2 linked regions of the Mus musculus genome follow. The protein of the gene in region 2 binds, or shares a complex with, the protein of the main gene of each other region. Links are inferred from orthologs where the notes say so. Each region holds a gene or a part of one and is shown on either strand. Other genes may lie near its edges.

What was found.
Region 1: the proteins of Lrp6 (region 2) and Dkk1 are in contact, whole or in part, in a crystal structure (PDB 3S8V), measured with the Homo sapiens proteins. The link is inferred for Mus musculus from reciprocal best matches to the Homo sapiens genes LRP6 and DKK1. Residues at the interface, in NP_001401174.1 of Homo sapiens: Arg639, Glu663, Ser665, Ile681, Tyr706, Glu708, Thr724, Arg751, Trp767, Gly768, Gly769, Pro771, Val790, Gly791, Arg792, Asp811, Thr812, Asn813, Leu814, Pro833, His834, Phe836, Trp850, Ser851, Tyr875, Met877, Arg1184; in NP_036374.1 of Homo sapiens: Glu185, His204, Phe205, Trp206, Ile209, Gln218, Val219, Thr221, Arg224, Arg225, Ser228, Gly230, Leu231, Glu232, Ile233, Phe234, Arg236, Ser258, Leu260.

Annotation. Positions count from the first base shown.
Region 1 is NC_000085.6:30,546,697-30,550,987, forward strand, and holds the start of Dkk1 (dickkopf-related protein 1 precursor), read right to left. Parts: upstream 2,801-4,291; 5' UTR 2,684-2,800; coding exon 2,438-2,683; intron 2,251-2,437; coding exon 2,082-2,250; intron 1,017-2,081; coding exon 867-1,016; intron 743-866; coding exon 489-742; 3' UTR 1-488. UniProt on the Homo sapiens protein: Antagonizes canonical Wnt signaling by inhibiting LRP5/6 interaction with Wnt and by forming a ternary complex with the transmembrane protein KREMEN that promotes internalization of LRP5/6.
Region 2 is NC_000072.6:134,564,114-134,568,051, forward strand, and holds the start of Lrp6 (low-density lipoprotein receptor-related protein 6 precursor), read right to left. Parts: upstream 2,801-3,938; 5' UTR 2,585-2,800; coding exon 2,530-2,584; intron 1-2,529. UniProt on the Homo sapiens protein: Component of the Wnt-Fzd-LRP5-LRP6 complex that triggers beta-catenin signaling through inducing aggregation of receptor-ligand complexes into ribosome-sized signalosomes.

The sequences.
Region 1 (4,291 bases), on a different chromosome or scaffold from region 2:
CACATCTCAGGAAATAAACTGATACTTTCATGTTAAATTTTAGATGCCTATCACCGACTATTCCATTTCTCCTTACATTCGACCCCCTAGACATTGAAGCAGAAAGGGTTACACATTTAAGAACTGTAAACCAAAATTACTTCAATATAGAATATTTATGAGTCAAGACAATCAACCGTGTACAAAAAAAATTTACATGCAAGAGAAACAAGGCAATGTAGCACACCTCTAGAAAAATAATTAAAAGTTTTGCTGCATTTACAGGTAAGTGCCACACTGAGGATTTACAACACAGTAATTTACTGCAATCACAGGGGAGTTCCATCAAGAAACAAAGTCCTTACACTCCAGAGCTTTTGGAAGGTATTGTCGGAATGCTTAATTACACACTGAAGATTCCTACATCCTTGGGATTGAGCTGACAAATCATAAAGGATTTTCGTAGCATATATTAGATAAAAAGAGTCCATCATATTTAGACTGTCGGTTTAGTGTCTCTGGCAGGTGTGGAGCCTAGAAGAATTGCTGGCTTGATGGTGATCTTTCTGTATCCTGCAAGCCAGGCCTTCCCCGCAGTAACAGCGCTGGAATATCTCCAGCCCGTGGGAGCCTTTCCGTTTGTGCTTGGTGCACACCTGACCTTCTTTAAGGACAGGTTTACAGATCTTGGACCAGAAGTGTCTTGCACAACACAGCCCTGCGGCACAGTCTGATGATCGGAGGCAGACGGAGCCTTCTTGTCCTGTGAAGGAGACAGAAGGAAAATTACAGTTACTGCGAGGCCTGTACCATCCCACTGAGACAATTCTAAATGCACTTCTGATATATTAAATGGGAAAGGCTGAGCCTGAAAGCCCCTTTACTACCTTTGGTGTGATATATTTTTGAAGTCAGTGTGGTTCTTCTGGGATATCCATCCCCCGCGGCGGCGTTGTGGTCATTACCAAGGTTTTCAATGATGCTTTCCTCAATTTCCCCTCGAGGAAAATGGCTGTGGTCAGAGGGCATGCATATTCCTAAGAAAACCAGAAATAGTGATTAATCCTCAGGCTGTAGTTTGTTGCTGCTAATAGCCAAGACAGGAGCAGTGGGTTATACAGACACCACTGTGAGTTACCTCACTGCTGTTGCTGCCTTTCTATTTACCAAAACTCCCCAGAGAAAGCAGTATCAATGAGTGTACTGTCGAATCGTATGGAACGCCTCAGGTATAGCCATTTTAAATGCTTTCCTACTAATTGTAGTGGAGGCAGTAGAGACTTTTCTGTCTATTTTAATATTACCCTTTGGGCTAGGAAAAAGAAATCCAGTCACTTAAAAGAAATTAATCTTAAAAAATAACTTCTCTGCTCTGGGTGCTAGCTGCGCAATGCAGTTCCGGCTGCCTGGAAGACTGCGATCTCACCCGCTAGTTACTTTACTGTATAATTTTGATATTACGGAGATTTTAGTGAGTTGACTCTGGAATGCTGCTGTAACCTAGGAAGTTAGCCACCCCTCAAGTTTATTTCTGGAGACTTCTTTGAGACATTAACATTTTGTGGATCTGTGGTTGTGTGTGTGTGTGTGTGGGGGCAGTACTTCTTTGAAGGTAGTTGAGGGTGGAGGGAAAGGGGAGAAGGGATGGAGAGCTAGGGGTGTAAGCGGTACAGAGATCTCTTTTAAAAGCTGGCCAGCAGAGATTAATCATTCTAGCTCCCCGTTGACAACAGTTGTAATAGCCTTAGAGGAAAGAGAGACTGGCAAAGCCACGCAGAGTCCACCTTAAGAAAAAAACGTCTGGCTCCCCTTTCAGAACGACCTCTCCCCCTTTCTCAAGTGCCCCAAGGCTCCCTGAAGATAATTGTTTGATGGAAGGGTCCACTTTCAGGTCTTGTTGTTAGATCACAGAGGGAGGCAAGGAAAGATAAACTTTCAAGTGCTCAAACACAAGCCAGTGACGATGTGTCAGGAGAACCCTTGCATGAGCACGCGTTTGCAGGTGGCGCCACCTTAGCTTTGACAGAACCAGAGCATTTCATTTGATTCCTGGGTCCTCAAAGGCAAGGTGGTTCTAATTTAAAAAGGAGTCCAAGACTCACCATTTTTGCAGTAGTTCCCGGGGCAGCACATAGCGTGCCTCATGCAGCGCTTCCTGCGCTTTCGGCAAGCCAGACAGATCTGTACACCTCCGACGCCGGCTGCCCCGCGGCTGGGGCTGGAGCAGTACTCGTCAGAGCCGCACTCCTCATCTTCAGCGCAAGGGTAGGGCTGTGGGAAGGGAGCGGACTGGTGAGCAACTCAAGCATCCTGGTACCCACACCTTCAAGGTCCCCATCTGCCTCTTCAAAAGCCCCTTAAGCGCGCTGCTCTTAATGCAGTGATTCCAAACACACCCCAAATCTCACACACCTAGATCTTTCTGAGACCCCCGTCGGGATCACAGCACCCCTCTTACCTGGTAGTTGTCAAGAGTCTGGTACTTGTTCCCGCCCTCATAGAGAACTCCCGGCGCCACACTGACAGCAGAGCCCGGCTGCCCCCCAGCACCACCCAGCGGTGGGGGCAGGTTCTTGATCGCGTTGGAATTGATGAGAACTGAGTTCAAGGTGGCACTGGCTCCTAGCAGAGGGAGGCTGCAGAGAGCCATCATTGTAAACACGGCCAAGAACCGGACAGCTGCCGCTGCACACACAACCATCATCTCCGAAGGACGCAAACAGGCAAAGGTCAGGAAAAGAGAGGTCACTTTGCACGGCGGCTGGCTGCAGAGTCTGGACTGCGGAACCTCAACTTCGGGACCTCCGCTGGTGGAGTCTCTGGCTGCCAGGCGCACAGCTCTGCACCGCCACCGCCACCTCTGGCTGCCTTTATACTCAGGCTCCCAGCCCTCCCAGCTCCTCAGGGAAGACAACAAAGCCGGGATGGGATTTCAAAGCTTTGGGAGGAGCTGGGAGGGGGAGTGTTTGTGTGTCGGAAGCAGGGAGGACTTTGACACTCTCCCCTCGCCCCTCCCTTGCACTGTGGTCCCCTTGTCCAGCTCACCTTAGAGTGTGGGTCACTAGAGCACTAGAGCATTAGAGCCTAGCCCAAACTTATAAATAAATAAATAAATAAATAAATAAATGGCGGGAGGGTGCACTCTGTGAGCTTGAGTGTTCTGCTGTGGGGCTGGGTTAGTTCTGTCTGAAATCCTTGTCAGAGTTAAAAGTGATAGAATATACAAAACCACGTTTCTTCTCTTCCCCATATGAGTACCCTCGCTTTCTGCGCACGCAAATAATATTCAGTATTAAATACAATGCGAGCAGCCATTCATCAAAGGTTTTGTGAAAAGCCCAGGTGGCTCCTATAGTTGCTGATTAACCCTTTAGCGTTGCGATTTGCAAATGAGGTTCTTGTCTTTTAAGTTTGTCTAGTTGCTTCCCCACTTCCCACTCCCTCCCTCCCCCCACCCAACCCTACACACACCAGGAGAAAAAAAAATGTGCAAAGACAAGAAAATTTGCACATCAAATGAGGATGCCAAGGGAAGAACTAATTCGCTTTTGATGGTGAGTTTGGGGGGGTTGGGGGTGGAGGCGAGAGACTGCCGTTTGGAAATTAAATCAGGGATGGAGGGGAGAGGGAAATAGGCACCCGATAATCAAACTATTTAATGTGGTTCTTTGAATCTGGTCAATCCCAGCAGTAGATGAACTTGATTAAGCAGACACATGAGATCAAAGTGGCTCTGAGCCAGAGCGGACAGGGTCCCTGAGCCTGGTCAGTCCTCTTTCCCTGGTTCCCTGTTCCCAGCGGTGGGTTAATAGAAGAAGATAAGAAACCCGAAGGCTTAGCTCCCGGCTTTCTCATTAGTGTTTCATATCGCTGAGCAGGAGAGGGCTTGCTTTTGATCCCAAATCAAACCTCGTCCAGGACAGGACAGGACAGGAGGAATAACCCTCTAGGGAGATAACAGAGGACCTCCTGGAAAAGAAGTGCTGAACCTAAATCAGAGAATGAATTTGAAGGGGTTTCGCCCAGTGTGTAAAATAAGAAACAACATGGACATAAGAATGCCGTGCTTATAAATTAGCGGTAATGTATGTAATAATGACTTTTATTAAAGTCAGTCTTTTATCCAACCATCACAGTGCTAAAAGAGACAGTTGTCATGAAATAACAAAAGATAAGAAATGTGAATGGATAATGTTTAAGAACAGATCGATAAATCTGAGACCACAAGCAACTGTTGTATGAGACTGAAAAGGAAGAAATGATCTGAAATCCTTGTTGGAGAGGGTGAGCTGAGATGTCCTTTGTAGCCCCT
Region 2 (3,938 bases):
TGCTCTACAATGAACTAGCTGACAGAGAGTGCCCCAACTTTTTTTTTGTGCCCCAACTTCTTACAAATGACAACAATATCATCTACTTTAAGCACTCTTGAATCTTAAACAAATTAAATCTCTAATCACCAACAATTGAGGACACATCCATAAATAATAAAAAAAAATTTTCACATATAAAAATAACACTATTTATAGCCATATATGGGGAGGCATGCCTGTGACCCCCACACTCAGGAGGTTGGGAAAGGAGAAGAGTTGAGTTGCACTTGGAGGTCAGCCTGGGCAGCATAGAAAGATCCTGTCTTTAAAACTTTTTAATTAATATTTGGAAAGCACTCCTATGTTACTTCATTAAACACACCTAATAACCCTTGCAAATCAGCCAGACAGGTATTATTACCCATGTTTTATAGATAAGCTGAGACAGAGAGAACCAGAAGCAGAAATAATGAAGATCTAGCTTTAAACTCAAGTCTATGGTGCTAAAATCCTCAACTTTCAAGTTTTTCCCAATATTCTTTGTCACTTGGTAACTAGGACAGGGTGCAGCCTAGCGATGGCAGTATTAAATGACCTTCAACTGCTGGTGAGTAAACAAGGCTATAAGGTACAAAGTCCCAAAGTCACACATCATCACAAACCCAAAGTAAAAGTACCACCTCTTCTGGGAACTACAAGTAATTAAATCACACTTTGCTCCTGGGAAACCAAGGGTGACTGTCACTTATAACAGAGGCTAACAGTGCCAAGAAGTGAAGAAACTTTAAATTAGGAATCGTTTACACCAAAAAGACAGTTTCAGTTGGAATGATATATGCTCACAATTAAATAATGCTAAACAGAAAAACAAAGACCTCCTTAGCATTATTGTATTACATTTAAATAAGCTCCACTTCGGACAGTTACCTCTTCTTGATCTTGTTACACACAATATCATGCTTCACCATCTCTAAACCAAACTCATGCATGAATCTACTCAACTCTAGGCTCAAACCTGTTATCAAAATAAACAAACAGTCCTATGTCCCCTCTAAGAATGGCAGCTGGACTTTCAGGCGCTAAAGCCATCAGAAGTCACAGATTTAGACTTTCCCAACTCTAAATCAATCCACTAGTTCTACATTTTAACTCTTATGAACTTGTCAATCATATTCACATGTTAATAACAACTTTCTCACAGCTACAGCAAAATCTTTCAATGTAGAGTTTACTATAACAAAATAAACACTTGATTATTAAATCTCTTGAGTAATAACATTGAGTTCTCTGCCATGGAAATTAAAACAGCAATTATCTTTCTGGTATTTGCAAAAAGGACTAGACAATTCGGGATACGCTTATTTTTAGAAAATGGTGGGGGGGTTTTAAGGCAAATAGTCTTATTCAAATACACACATGCATAGATGATAGGCTGTCCCATTTACATCATAAGATTGTTAGTTACTATCCTACTTTGCAAACTTCCATACTTCTGACGGACTTAAACGTTGAGCTTGTTAAATTAATAACTAAGAATCCCAGAGAGGTCCCATTAACTGGCACAGGTAAGTTAACAAAAGCGAACAACAAGATACGGCGTCAAACAGCACCTCAATTCTTGCACAGGCAACACTCTCCATGGCACCAGCCCCCATCGCTCATCAACTGAAGACCAGTCGACAAGGTTTCCATTGCAAACTGTCACACAACAAAAAGTCAGGACGTACGTCTCAGCCTCACAGTCCAAATTCAAAACACCACAGAGCCACTACGTTTAAGCGATTCCCATAGCAAATTACCCAGGGCATTCTCTGTTATTTACTAAAGTGCCAAGCAGTTCCCAGGGGTGCCCAGCAAATGATAATTTAGTTCCCAGGATAGGCTCCTCGCCACACAAGGATGACTTCCCTACTTGGTGCCAACTGTACACTTGCACACTCCGCAAACAGGGGGCGAGTCCTGAATACCAGGGGTTACGAGGGCAACGTTTGTGTTTTTATTATGGGCTCAGATGATCCCGAATGCTGAAAAGCGCGACCTATCACCCTAGAGTCAATTTCCAACTGTGCTCTCACCCAGGACCATTCTATCCCCGCGGAAGACAATTATTAGTTGTAACAAGGCCTAGAGAGGGGAGAAGGAAAAAAAAAATAGTGGGGTTTAAAGAAGAAGAAAAAAGTTCACCTAAGAGACACGGGAAAGGTGAGCTCAGGCTTCGAGGGAGAGGGAGGTCAACACCAATGGTGCTGAAAGCGCAACTACAAAAGCCCCTTTCTGCCCCGAGTGCAGGCGAGCCGGGCACCGTCAGTCATTCCGATGGAGTGCGGGGGGCCAGGGGTCCCCCCGAGGCCCGCAGCTTTGTCCGGCGGCGCCGCGGGGCCGGCCAGGGGTGTGCGCGGCGGCCGGGCGCGGCCCCCGACCGCGGGCCCCTTCCTCGCGCGGCTCCCCAGCGCCAGGCCTCTGTCCCCGCCGCTGTCCCCGCCACCTCCCCTCCCCCTCCCGGGACCCCGGCAACTTTTCCCCCGGCCTCGCCTCGCTTCGCCTCACCTCTCAGCAGCACGCAGAAGCTGCAGGCCAGGAGGCTCCTCAGCACGGCCCCCATCTTCCCCCCACCACCGCGCGCGCTCGCGGCCCTCACCGGCGCCCGGCGGCCAGGGGACGCGCGGGCGAGGAGCCGGGGCGGCCGCCGCAGCGGCGGGTCTGCACGCTCATGCTTTCCGCGGCCGCGAGAAGAAAGAAAAGGGCGCACGTCAGGGCTCTAGCGCGCCGCTCCGGCCCGGGCTCGCGCGACGCCAGCGCCTGCCCCCATGCCGCCGCCTCCTCCCGCGGCGCCCCACGTCCCCCGCGCGGCGCCTCATTCAGCCTCTTCCTCTCGCAGCGGCGCAGGGATCCGCCGCGGGGCCGCCGCCGTCTCCCTGCGCGCCCGACTCCCCCCACCCCCGTCCTCAGCGCGCCGCGGCCGGACCCCGGGAGCCGCGACCGCCGCGCGCGCCGACTCCCCGGAGAGCCCCCGCGGGTTGAGCCTCGCGAGCCCCCGCACGCTGCGGGGATAAGGTCTTCCCGAGGCGCATTCCGATGGGATTCTTTCCCCGGGCGGCGGAGGGCGTGAGGCGACGTCGGCCGACACTGGGGCCGGCGTGGTCGGGACTACTTTCTGCGTCCCGGCCCGTCGCCGCCCGCGCCGCTCTTTGTGCGCCCGGCCGCCGAGCCAGGTGGAGCTGCGGACCCCGGGGCTGCCCCGGGACGTAGGAAAATCAAAGTGCCATTGCGGCTTACGCTTTCCCGAAGCGGCGGGCCAGGGGAACGGTGTGCAGAAGCCAACGCGGAGCACATCGCTAGTGGACTGGGTTGAGAATCCTCATCATAGGAAGTAAAATAAACCAGACTCGGACTTTAAAAAAAAAAAAAAGTATGTTTTTCTCCTAGTGTGGAGCCTGCTTTACATATACACATAAAGTCACACACATGGGGAAAAGACAAAGATTGTGGGATTGTATACACATAAGTAAACCTTACTCAGACAAGTTTCCCTCATATGTGGATCTAGGGGTGTGTGTGTGTGTGTGTGTGTGTGTGTGTAGAAATGCCTTTATATATGAGTTAACACATAGATGATAAGAAAATAAAAGTATGACTATCTGGGAAAAAGAGTGAAGCTAATGTTGGGGGAAGAGGCACACACATGTTAAAAGAAAATTATGTGCTTGAATCTTATCCATCATTACATACAATAAATATAAACTAAGAAAAAAATTAAAGAAAAAAAACAATAGTTTTTTGTTTGTTTGTTTATTGCCTTCCAAGAAATACAGACCTTTTTTTGTGAACTAAGCTGACAAGGACTAAAGCTTTCTAAACTGAGAGAGAAAATCCTTAGTAGCTAACAGCAAAGAGAAAATAAAACATGTCTTTTCAGGGGGAGGGGTTACAGGTCTGAGAGAAAAAAAGGAGCCCCC